Macaca mulatta: one gene and its partners. The protein of the gene in region 1 purifies or fractionates together with the protein of each later gene. This does not show direct contact. Links are inferred from orthologs where the notes say so. Each region holds a gene or a part of one and is shown on either strand. Other genes may lie near its edges.

Region 1 (3,500 bases):
CTTGCCATTTCAGGGTATAGCTTCCCACACTATGGATTTCCTACTTATGGTGGGATTACCTTCCATCCTGGAACTACTAAATCTAATGCTGGGATGAAGCATGGTAAGTAATGCTTTATTCTTAATACCAAGAAAGGAAAAAAATAATCCTAAAAAAAATAGATTTAAAAAAAAATTTTTAAATCCATCACAACAGTATTATTGTCTTGAAAAATAATTGATTAATGCAAATAAACTGAGAAGATACTTTTTCCAAAAGATATTATTTCCTGTGGCTAGTATAAACTCTGTTCCTTGTTTATATTTTATATATTTCCTTCGTAAGTGGCATGAACAGAGGAAAGAAAAGAGCATTGAAAAGAGATATACAGAGACCTGACTATTCAAACGTTTTAAACATCACCAAACTTATGTCTTCTGTCTCTCGTTTTCTCAAATAGTACACTTCTGAAATCATTTTGAGTTTTATAGGGTTTGTCTTTTCCCATCAAGTCATCACCTGAGAAGCTGCAGTTAAACCACGTGTTGATAGTTTACATTACAGGTCCATTCTAGTGTACCCATGGAAGAAATAATACTATAAAGAAGTCTTCCCATTTATTGAATACCTATTTTTGTGCCAAGTGCTTTTACATGTTTTAACTGTTATCTTCATGACTGCACTATATGGAAAATAGTATCTCCATTTTGCACACAAAAGACACCAAAGTTCAGAAATGTTTATACTCACTGAAGGCACACAGAAGTTAGTGGCAGAACAAGAATTTGAAGCAGGTCTCCACTATAAAAGCTAGATGCTCTCATAGTGTCTGTCAGATAACATAGTTGAACCTGAAAGAGGATGATCAGGAATGCTACACTGGATAGCTCCCATACTAAAGAATGTGAATTGACAACACGTCTTTATGACTTGCTTTGTTCATTAGCGTTAGGAAAAAACTGCTCTGCTTTCAAGAACTTTAAAAATTCAACTTTTCTGCAATTGACAGAAGAGCTTTATTTCATTTTTCTCCTTTACAAGTAAATAAGCAAAATGAGATCTAAGATTTTAGAAGTATACTAAAAATGGTTTTTAGAATTGAGTTTAGAGTATCTCCAAAACATGGTATTTATGATATGACCATTTTTAAAAGAATTTTAAATTATTATTTTTCTTTTCCTTTTGCAGCAAACTTGCCTCTTACCTTTATCTGACCTGCATTGGAATAGTGAATTATCACTAAATTAATACATTTTACTGAGAAAAATCTGATGTTTTTACATTTTTCTTAGGAACCATGGACACTGAATCTAAAAAGGACTCTGAAGGTTGTGACAGAAGTGATGACAGAAACACTGTAAACCTCTTTGGGAAAGTCATTGAAACCACAGAGCACAATCAGGAGCCCAGCGAGGCCACTGATGGGAATGGTGAGGTCACTCTAACGTATGCAACAAGAGCAAAAGAAGAGAGTGCTAGGGTTCAGGGTAAGTGAGCACACAAATTACGTTCTATTGGTTGGCTGGGGAGGGGTCAGTCCTAGGTGTAGAAAAGTATCTGCTAATCTGAAGATGACATATCAATATCTAGTTTAGCGTACTCTTCAAAGTTCTGTATGTCTTTGGAAGAGCATATGTCAGATCATTTTATTCACACTGGGATTTCCATTTTTGCTCTGTTATCTTTGAATGTAAAGTACAGAAATTTACATGTACATTCTCCAGTCACAATCATGCAGTTTTAGGGTATTGTGAGAGATAATCAACTTCTTTTCTGGCACAGATAGAGAAGTATTTCTACAAGCTTAATAGTCACCCTCTCTAGATTCTGGCTTAACCATCATACTGAAATAGAACTTTGCCTTAAAATAGGAACTTTTCTTTTTATCTTGTTGCCCTCTTTGAACAAGTAGGATTAGGAGAAAATGTACTTTTGCGTTTACTCTGAACCAATACTTATTAGCATATGTGTCATGATTCTAGGTCATCCTAGATCGTACTAAGAAGACATCTGTAAAAGCAATTAGAGTTGGTGGCCACATGTGGTATCTATCACATATGCCTTTTTTTTACACCCCTTTAAAAATGTATAAGCCATGATTAGCTAGGGAGCTATATGAAAAGCCGAGCATAAACAGGTTTTGGCCCAAAGGTCACAACTGCCATTCCCTGACCTTAATGGAACAAACTTTACAAAAACATGAGTGTTTCATGGAAAGTCTCTGTTTATGGCAGAGACGTGTGTTTTTTCACACATTGCCTAACAAGCTAATTGGTAGAGATCCCAATGAAGGATTATTTCACCAAGATATTGGTGATTTAAAATCATGGTAAAATCTAACATTGTTTGGAGATTGTTTTCCTTAAAATAACAGATAATGGTTGTTCCCTTAAAATAACACATTTCTAAACTTTTTCCTCTAACAAACCATACATAGATTCTTTAAGATCAATCTCTAACTATATTTGTCAGTGACCCAATGTCCAATTCTGCTTTTTCTAGTCAACACAATCCAAAAGCATTGAAAGAGCATTTTCAACTAAAATGATGTGTCAAGGTGTCAGAACACTGATGCTGGTCAGTTTGGCCTTGAGCATGCCATACCCATAAAACAAAAGTAGGAACACTCAACTATGATTGTGGTCATTGCCTTACAGATAACCTCTTTCTAGAGAAGGCTATGCAGCTTGCAAAGAGGCATGCCAATGCCCTTTTCGACTACGCAGTGACAGGAGACGTGAAGATGCTGCTGGCCGTCCAGCGCCATCTCACTGCCGTGCAGGATGAGAATGGGGACAGGTAAGTCAGGATTTTTTGCATGATAGGTTGTTCTGGGTAGGGAAAAAGAAGAGCATCATATAATGCATGCTGACTAGAGATAAAAATAATTGTTCAAATGTATTGAGTCCTCTAACTGGCACGATCAAGAAAACTAGTGTGAATAAGGTAAAGTAGCACAATTTGCTGCTCCATCCTGCTGCTGTCATCTGTTGGAATCTGTAGTAGCTGGAGGATTCATCTAAGAGTGAATCTCTCTGGGCAAGCAAACTAAGATGTGTATAGGTAATGGTACTTTTTGAAAAGCCTCGCTTTGTTTATTGAAATAATATTTGGAGAATTGTTAAGAATCCTACCAAATCCCTGAAACCTTGTTATCCCAGCTGCATATTTATAATGACAGTGTACTCAAGAAAAAGCTCAATAAAGGCAGCAACAACAACAGAAAGATTAAGAGGGACTGGTCATTCTTTCCCAGTTACTGGTTTCTTCTCTACTACCTCTTCTGGTGGTCACCAGTCTGTGACTGGTTCAGACTTTTGTGACTGCTCCAGCCCATGCGTGGGAGTCGAACATTCCAAACACCATGCCTTCCATTCCTGCTATTACTGAGATTGTATTTGCAAAGCCACCTGGCTTCTTTCTAAAACAGTTCTCTTAGTCCTTTCATTGAGACTTCTAAAGTATCTCGAAAGCCTATAAAAATAACAAGAAACAGCAGCCTTCACATTCAAGTCAAGTG
Region 2 (4,110 bases), on another chromosome or scaffold:
ATTTTTAGGCCGGGTGTGGTGGCTCACACCTGTAATCCCACCACGTTGGGAGGCCGAGGTGGGTGGATCACTTTAAGTCAGGAGTTCCAGACCAGCCTGGCCAACATGGTGAAATCCCATCTCTGCTAAAAGCACAAAAATTAGCCGGATGTGGTGGTGCATGCCTGTAATCCCTGCTACGCGGAAGGCTGAAACATGAGAATTGCTTGAACCTGGGAGGCAGAGGTTGCAGCAAGCTGAGATCATTCCACTGTACTACAGCTTTGGTGACAGAGCAAGACTCCAGTCTCAAAAAAAAAAGAAAAAGAAAAAAAATACTGAATTAGGCCGGGTGTGGTGGCTCATGCCTGTAATCCCAGCACTTTGGGAGGCCAAGGTGGGCAGATCATTTGAGGTAAGGAGTTTGAGACCAGCCTGGCCAACATGGTGAAACCCTGTCTCTACCAAAAAAATTACAAAACTTATCCGGGGGTGGTGGCACCCCCCTGTAATCCCAACTACTCGGGAGGCTGAGGCAAGAGAATCACTTGAACCCAGGAGGACAAGGTTGCAGTGAACGGAAACTGTGCCACTGCACTCCAGCCTGGGGAACAGAGTGGACTCCAACTCAAAAAAATAATAAAGCATACTGAATTAAATGAAAATAAAAACACAACATACCAGAATTTGAGAGATATTGCTAAAACAATATTGCTAAACAATAGTCAGGAGCAAATTTATAGCACTCAATACCTATACTGGAAAAGAGGAAAAAAGAAAGGTCTCAAATCAATGATCTCAACTTTCACCTTAAGAAACTACAAAAAGAAGAACAAATTAAAGCCAAAGTAAGCAGAAGAATGAACATAATAAAAGTCAGAACAGCCTGGCATGGTGGCTCATGCCTGCAATCCCAGCACTTTGGGAGGCTGAGGCAGGCAGATCACGGGGTCAGGAGTTTGAGACCAGCCTGGCCAACATGGTGAAACCCCATCTCTACTAAAAACACAAAAATTAGCCAGGCATGGTGGTGGGCACCTGTAATCCCAGCTACTGGGGAGGTTGAGGCAGGAGAATTGCTTGAACCCAGGAGATGGAGGTTGCAGTGAGTCAACATGGTGCCACTGCACTCCAGCCTGGGCGACAGAGTGAAACTCCATTTCAAAAAACAAAACAAAACAAAACAAAAAAACCGGCCGGGCGCGGTGGCTCAAGCCTGTAATCCCAGCACTTTGGGAGGCCGAGATGGCGGATCACGAGGTCAGGAGATCGAAACCATCCTGGCTAACACAGTGAAACCCTGTCTCTACTAAAAAAAAAAAAAACTAGCCAGGCGAGGTGGCGGGCACCTGTAGTCCCAGCTACTCGGGAGGCTGAGGCAGGAGAATGGCTTAAACCCGGCAGGCGGAGCTTGCAGTGAGCTGAGATCCGGCCACTGCACTCCAGCCTGGGCGACAGAGCGAGACTCTGTCTCAAAAAAAAAGCCAGGACAGAGACTAATTATATAAAAAGTAAAAAAAAAAAAAAAAAAAAAAGAAACCAAAATTAAGTAATGAAATGTAATGAAAATTAACAAGATTATAAAGCTGGTTCTTTGAAAAGATAAATATTTCTTCAGTGCCTCCTGGGTCAGGCACTGCTTGCATCACTGGGCATACAGCAGAAAACACAACAGACAAAAAACCCAGTACAGTCCCTCATCTGGGCTTTGCAACTGCAGTTCCTTCTCCCTGAAATGCTCTTATCCTGTTTATCTATTGCCTCATTTTCCTGCTTTATTTTTCTCCAAAGTACTTACTACCTCTGACTTTATTTCCTTCTCTTACTTTCTATGTTTCTTTCTTTCTGCGTGTCTTTCTTTGTTTCTTCCTGTCTTTCTGTTTCTTTCCTTCCTTGCGGTCTTATCTGTTTATTTAGTTCCACTAAAATGTATGCTCCACAAGCGCTTAAGTTTTTGTCTGTTTTCTCCACTGCCTTTATCACTAGCACCTAAAACGGAGCCTGGAATGTTGTACTGTGTAAAGAATATTTGTTTAACAGATGGATCCTTGGTCTCGTGGAGCTTACATTCTTTTTTTCTATTTTCCTTTTTTTTTTTTTTTTACTTTAATTAGGAATTCAACATAGAAGAGCTTACATTCTCTCTCTTTGAATTTAAGATTTGAAGAACACTGCTCAGATGACAGGATCTTAGAGTAAGGGACCAAGCATTAATTTTGGAAATCAAACTTTAAGGCTCAAATCAGGAACTAAGAATCAAAGATCATATTTGGAGGTTAGAAGTCAGGAGAAGCCACAGTTCTAACAAAAGTCTCAGGACTGGAGTCAGGTTTGGGTATCAGTGGATACAACGTGGATTCCAGGAGCTGAGAATCATAGTTCAGGAAAAGGTCAGAAATGATTGGGTGAGGATCATAGCTGGAAAGAAGATTGGTTTTGTTAAAAGTTAGGACTCGGGGGTTAGAGGTCAGGAAGTTCAGCATCGGAAGTCAGATTTAGGAGTGTGAGGTTAGGAAGCCTCAGGGATCAGACACTAATGGGGAATCAGATGCCGGGTCCTAAGGCTCCGTTTGGCAGCCTAAAGTTCACTCACGTGTCCCCATCCTCAGTGACGTAGCCGAAGACGAGGGGAGCCCACGACAGCCCCGGGCCCAGCTCCGCGCCCAATCCCGGTCCTCCGGGGGCCGCTGCGTCCGGACCCAGGGAGCCGAGGCCGCTGTCGCACCATTCATCTGCGTCGGCAGCTTTTCCCAAGCACGCGACCCCAGCCATGGCCCCCGCCACCTCAGGGGCCCCTCGCAGTGGCCCGCCTGTAGCTGGGCTTTGCCGGGAGTTCTGGCGCTTCCGCCCTGCGGGAAATTCCCCACCACGCCCCCTGATTCATCCAATGATAATATGCTGAATCGCTCACACCCCGCCCCCGTGCCGCATGCTGACCAATCAGAGTATTCGAGAGGACTACGACTCTCTAGCCGTTCCCACATTTTCCGGGCGCCCTTTACCAACATGGCTGCTGACGCCATGACTTCTGGGACTCGTAGTCCGGTCCTCGCGCGCTTTCTTACCTAACTGGGGCGCTCCGGGTGTCGTAGGAAAGCGCGTCTGCGGCCGCAATGTCTGCTGGGAGTTGTAGTTCAGTGCCCTATCCCGGCCACTCCCATTTCTGGTGCCGTCACGGGACAGAGCAGTCGGTGACAGGACAGAGCCGTCGGTGACGGGACACAGTGGTCGGTGACGGGACAGAGCGGTCGGTGACAGCCTCGAGGGCTTCAGCACCGCGCCCATGGCAGAGCCGGACCGTGAGTCGGGAATCCGGGTGGGAGGGTCGGGCCGCGCCGGGGCCTGATTGAAGGCTGCAGGCCCCGGGGCCCAAGGGCGGCCGCAGTGGGGCGGGAAGTAGGGAGCGCCTCGGGGAGTGGGGTTCTGAGGGTTGTTGCTAAGCGATCTATATCGCCAGGCTGGTGGGTTTCTGGGTCGCAGGGTGTTCAGGGTTCGTTTACCACATCCACTTGCCAAGTTGCCAATGATCGCGTGTTTCTCACACCTTGGTTGCTAAGGACCCTCGCTGCAAAGAACATAAGTTGCCCCGGTCCCGGCTGCTAAGGGTACCTGATTGTTAGAGGCAACCAGAGGATGCTGAGGGACCCCTGCTGTCCCCTTCTATGGCTTCCCCTTGTTCCGCGCCTCTCCTAAACCTACCGCCTCCACTGCACCACTGCACCTCCCTCCTAAACCTGCCTCCCAGCCAAAGCGTCCCTTCCCTTCTCTCTTCCTTTCTAAACTTCCCTCTGCCTTGTAAATCTAACCCTTCCCGCACACACACTGACACACTGTCGTGTCCTTCCTAACTCCTCCTGAGTGTTCCTTCATGCCCTGAATCCCTTAGGTAGGAGGAGGAGGATCGCTTGAGCCCAGGAGTTTGAGGCTGCAGTGAGCTATGATCGCACCATTGCACTCCAGCCTGGGTGACATGAGCGAGACCCTTTCTCTAAAAAGTAAAAAAGAAAGAAAGTAAGTCAGGGCCAGACACAATGGCTCATGCTTGTAACCCCAGTACTTTGAGAGGCCAAGGTGGTTGGATCGCTTGAGCCCAGGAGTTCAAGATCAGCCTGGGCAAAAGCCCCTACTTTC
Region 3 (4,170 bases), on another chromosome or scaffold:
AATACAAAAATTAGCCGGGTTTGGTGGTGTGCACCTGTAATCCCAGCTACTCAGGAGGCCAAGGCAGAAGAATCGCTTGAACCTGGGAGGTGGAGGTTGCAGGGAGCTGAGATCGTACTACTGCGCTCCAGCTTGGGCAACGGGAGAGAAAAGAAAGAAAGGAGAGAAAGAGAGAGAAAGGAGGGAAGGAGGGAAGGAAGGAGGGAAGGAAGGAAGGAAGAGAGGGAGGGTGGGCGGGCACACGAGCCACTCTCTGGGACTTCTGTTACAAATTGTAATGGACTTGATGAAAGTAAGGTGGAGTAAATGAAAACAACATAAAGGGCACAGAACACAGTCCCTAGGACACTTAGTAAATATCAGGTTTTATTATCATTTGGAATGGAGGAAATGGGCACAGACTGGGGACATTCTTTTTTTTTTTTTTTTTTTTTTTTTTTTTGAGACAGAGCCTCACTCTGTCGCCCAGGCTAGAGTGCAGTGGTGGGATCTCCGCCCACTGCAACCTCCACCTCCCGGGTCCAAGCAATCCTCCCACCTCAGCCTCCTGAGTAGCTGGGATTACAGGTGCCTGCCACCACGCCCAGCTACTTTTTCTATTTTTAGTAGAGACGGGGTTTCACCATGTTCGCCAGGCTAGTCTTTAACTCCTGACCTCAAGTAATCCGCCCGCCTTGGCCTCCCAAAGAGGAGTCTTAAATGAATTTCACTGAGGGATTTCAGCAGATTTTCATTACAATATCCACCCTGAAAGTGTAGGGGCCAGAGTTCCACGCTGGTTAAACTCTGTTGCTGTGTGAACTTATACCTGTAATTTCCACCTCTGCACCTCGCATTGCTTGTTTTTAAACTATGAGAATTGAACTCGCGGCCGGGCGCGGTGGCTCAAGCCTGTAATCCCAGCACTTTGGGAGGCCGAGACAAGCGGATCACGAGGTCGAGAAATCGAGACCATCCTGGCTAACACGGTGAAACCCTGTCTCTATTAAAAAATACAAAAAACTAGCCGGGAGAGGTGGCGGGCGCCTGTAGTCCCAGCTACTCCGAAGGCTGAGGCAGGAGAATGGCGTAAACCCGGGAGGCGGAGCTTGCAGTGAGCTGAGATCCGGCCACTGCACTCCAGCCTGGGCGACAGAGCAAGACTCCGTCTCAAAAAAAAAAAAAAAAGAGAATTGAACTCTAAGATCCTCTGAAGTCTAGCAGTCCTGCTGGTCGAACCCCCTTTACTGTTCCTGCCTACACTCTTCCTTCCCTTGACGCCTTCTTTACGTAAAAACTACATTTCCCATGAGCACCCATAGGCGTCCACGTAGCGCAGCCCTCCGCCGTCGCTCGCGCCCTTTATACTCACTTCCGCCCGCCCGCCACTTCTTTTTCTTTCGGCGGAGCGCGGCGGCAAGATGGCCGTGCAAATTTCCAAGAAGAGGAAGGTGAGCCTCTGGGGACTGGGTTCGGGGAACGACTGCGCCGCGAGGGTCAGGGGCTTCTCGGGTGCCACCGCGAGGCCTGCAGCTCCGTGCCCTGCCCTGGGAAGCGGCTTAGGCTTCCTGGCATTCCCACGGGCCGCGGATGGCGGTGGATTGAGTGAGAGGCCCGAGCCAGGCGGGCGCTGTGTGGCCGGGTAAGGGAGAGACAGGTTTTTCTCTGGTTCCGAGTGAAGCGCAGAGAGATGGGGACCAGGCGCCCCTTCTGTCCCGGAGAAGGCGTTTGTGAGCATTTTTTGGTCAATGGAATTAGTAAACGTGGTATTTTGAGGGCGTGTGTCATTTCCCTCATGTCTTATCCCATGGTTTTGGGAAGGGGAGGCAGCAGTGTATACTTGTCTTCTTACTGGTCGAGTCTGGGTACAGTCTGCTGGTCCCACGACCTCAACATGAAGGGTTACTGACGATTGCTTGCTCCGTCTGAGGACCCCGGGAGGAAGCTGCCTCGGATTTAACGCTTTGTTATTCCATGGGAAAGAACTGTGTAAAAATCATTAGCTTTAAAAATAGACAGTTTGTCATTTCGTATACCTACACTTCGATGTTAAAATTAAATCCACAACTCTTGTGAGTTAGGATTTTCCAGCTCTGTTTACAGTTAAAACCACAGGTACCGTAAGGCCAGATAACATGGCTGGGATTCTTTAGACGGTCCAGGTTGTGTCTGCAAGTGAGAGAGCTTATGTTAAGTCCACTATCTATTCTGTTCCTTCACAGTGACAAGTACAGTGTCTTTGCTGTGCTGAGTGAGGTGTAAATAGGCTATTTTAGAGCAGTTTCTTGTTTTGCATGTGGAACTGTTTTAAACCCTTCGATGAAGAGATGATGACGAGTCTGACTTGGGGGTGTTGCCTTCGCCCAGGTTGCCTACTCTGTGCTGCATTCTGTGGCACAGTTTAAAGGGCCCTGGTTGAAGTAACTTCCTAAAGATGACCTAGAGGCATTTGTCTGAGAAGGGTTGCTGCACTCCTGTTGGAACAAGGGTTTGGAACCATTGGTTGGAGGTATTTAGTTTTGGGGAGGGATGCATTGACTAATAAGACACTGGCTCAGGCGAAAGTGAGCCTACACCGATGTCCTAATTTTGAACTTCGCTTTTTTTGGATTAGTTTGTCGCTGATGGCATCTTCAAAGCTGAACTGAATGAGTTTCTTACTCGGGAGCTGGCTGAAGATGGCTACTCTGGAGTTGAGGTGCGAGTTACACCAACCAGGACAGAAATCATTATCTTAGCCACCAGGTAAAACTCACTTGACTGGCCATCACCTATAATTGTTGTAAATGCTAAGTTGGTTTATTCCTTTTTTTGTGTGTGTGAGACAGAGTCTTGCTCTGTCCCGAAGGCTGGAGTGCAGTGGTGAGATCTCTGCTCACTGCAAGCTCCGCCTCCCAGCTTCCTGCCATTCTCCTGCCTCAGCCTCCTGAGTAGCTGGGACTACAGGGGCCAACCACCATGCCCGGCTAATTTTTTGTATTTTTAGTAGATTCGGGGTTTCACTGTGTTAGCCAGGATGGTCTCAATCTCCTGACCTCGGGATCCGCCCACCTCAGCCTCCCAAAGTGCTGGGATTACAGGCATGAGCCACCGCGCCTGGCTGGTTTGTCCTTTGTGAACTTAAGGGGATAGACAGCCAGTGAGTCTGGGCTTAGTGAATGTAATTGCTTCTTAAAAGCTGGATTTTAAGGCCAGGCATAGGATCGCTTGAGCTCAGGAGTTCAAGACCAGCCTGGGCAACATGCGGAAACCCCCTCTCTAAAAAAGATAAGGTTGTGGTGGTGCACACCTGTGGTCCCAGCTATTCCAGAGGCTGAAGCAGGCGATGGCTTGAGCCCAAGAGGTCCAGGCTGCAGTGAGCCATTGGTGTGATCCAGCCTGGGTGACAGAGAGAGACCCTGTCTCAAAAAAAGCTGCATTTTGAAAATTTAACTTTAGTTTTTGTCAATGAAAATTATATGCTTTGTGGCAGAGATTTTGCTACCACATATATATTGCAAGATTTAAAGTTAAATCTAGCATTTGTGAGAGTCATGAATTGTCACTTTTTCCCCGCCCAGAACACAGAATGTTCTTGGTGAGAAGGGCCGGCGGATTCGGGAACTGACTGCTGTAGTTCAGAAGAGGTTTGGCTTTCCAGAGGGCAGTGTAGAGGTGAGTGATTCTGGCGTATGCCAGAGATAATGGCTCTTCAGAATGATAACTTCTAAAAACTGGGAGACTTTGTTCATTACAAATGGACTGATACAACTTTGTTGAAATTCTCTTAATGAATAATGGGCTTAACTTTGTAAGCCTGTTCTGCTAATGGTTGATAGTTAAAGGATTTTACATTCAACTTGGGTATAGAAATGATGCATATGATGGATTGACTGTCCCCATTGGTGTAGTTGGTATGGCCAAAGGAGCCAGGGTGGGAGGGCAAGGAACCTGCACTGTGTGTAGGTGGTAGAAGTGCTTTAGGAATTGAGGGATACTGAAATTATATGCTGTTTGTGATGGTGTTGTGCAGTCTTTTGGCCTCCGTAGGCCACGTTGGAAGAATTATCTTGGGCCACACTACTGGTAGTGCAAAAAATCACGATGTTCAATTTTTGTTGGGCCACAATCAAAGCCATCTCCTGGGCAGCATGCGACCTCTGGGTTGGGCAAGCTTGGTCTAGAAAGTGATGCTTGTGTGACATGCCAAAT

Evidence for each region.
Region 2: the proteins of NFKB1 (region 1) and NFKBIB purify together in Homo sapiens (affinity purification with mass spectrometry; 7 studies listed by BioGRID and IntAct, counting the BioPlex papers as one, with this or other methods). This does not show direct contact. The link is inferred for Macaca mulatta from reciprocal best matches to the Homo sapiens genes NFKB1 and NFKBIB.
Region 3: the proteins of NFKB1 (region 1) and RPS3 purify together in Homo sapiens (affinity purification with western blotting; 3 studies listed by BioGRID and IntAct, with this or other methods). This does not show direct contact. The link is inferred for Macaca mulatta from reciprocal best matches to the Homo sapiens genes NFKB1 and RPS3.

Annotation. Positions count from the first base shown.
Region 1 is NC_133410.1:111,956,299-111,959,798, forward strand, and holds part of NFKB1 (nuclear factor NF-kappa-B p105 subunit), read left to right. Parts: intron 1-13; coding exon 14-103; intron 104-1,272; coding exon 1,273-1,467; intron 1,468-2,637; coding exon 2,638-2,779; intron 2,780-3,500.
Region 2 is NC_133424.1:49,994,381-49,998,490, reverse strand, and holds the start of NFKBIB (NF-kappa-B inhibitor beta), read right to left. Parts: upstream 2,801-4,110; 5' UTR 2,752-2,800; coding exon 2,573-2,751; intron 1-2,572. Other genes in the region: SIRT2 (NAD-dependent protein deacetylase sirtuin-2), read left to right, coding at 3,263-3,278. UniProt on the Homo sapiens protein: Inhibits NF-kappa-B by complexing with and trapping it in the cytoplasm.
Region 3 is NC_133419.1:75,815,550-75,819,719, forward strand, and holds the start of RPS3 (small ribosomal subunit protein uS3), read left to right. Parts: upstream 1-1,370; 5' UTR 1,371-1,400; coding exon 1,401-1,430; intron 1,431-2,293; exon of another isoform or gene 2,294-2,441; intron 2,442-2,593; coding exon 2,594-2,724; intron 2,725-3,539; coding exon 3,540-3,633; intron 3,634-4,170. UniProt on the Homo sapiens protein: Component of the small ribosomal subunit. The ribosome is a large ribonucleoprotein complex responsible for the synthesis of proteins in the cell. Has endonuclease activity and plays a role in repair of damaged DNA.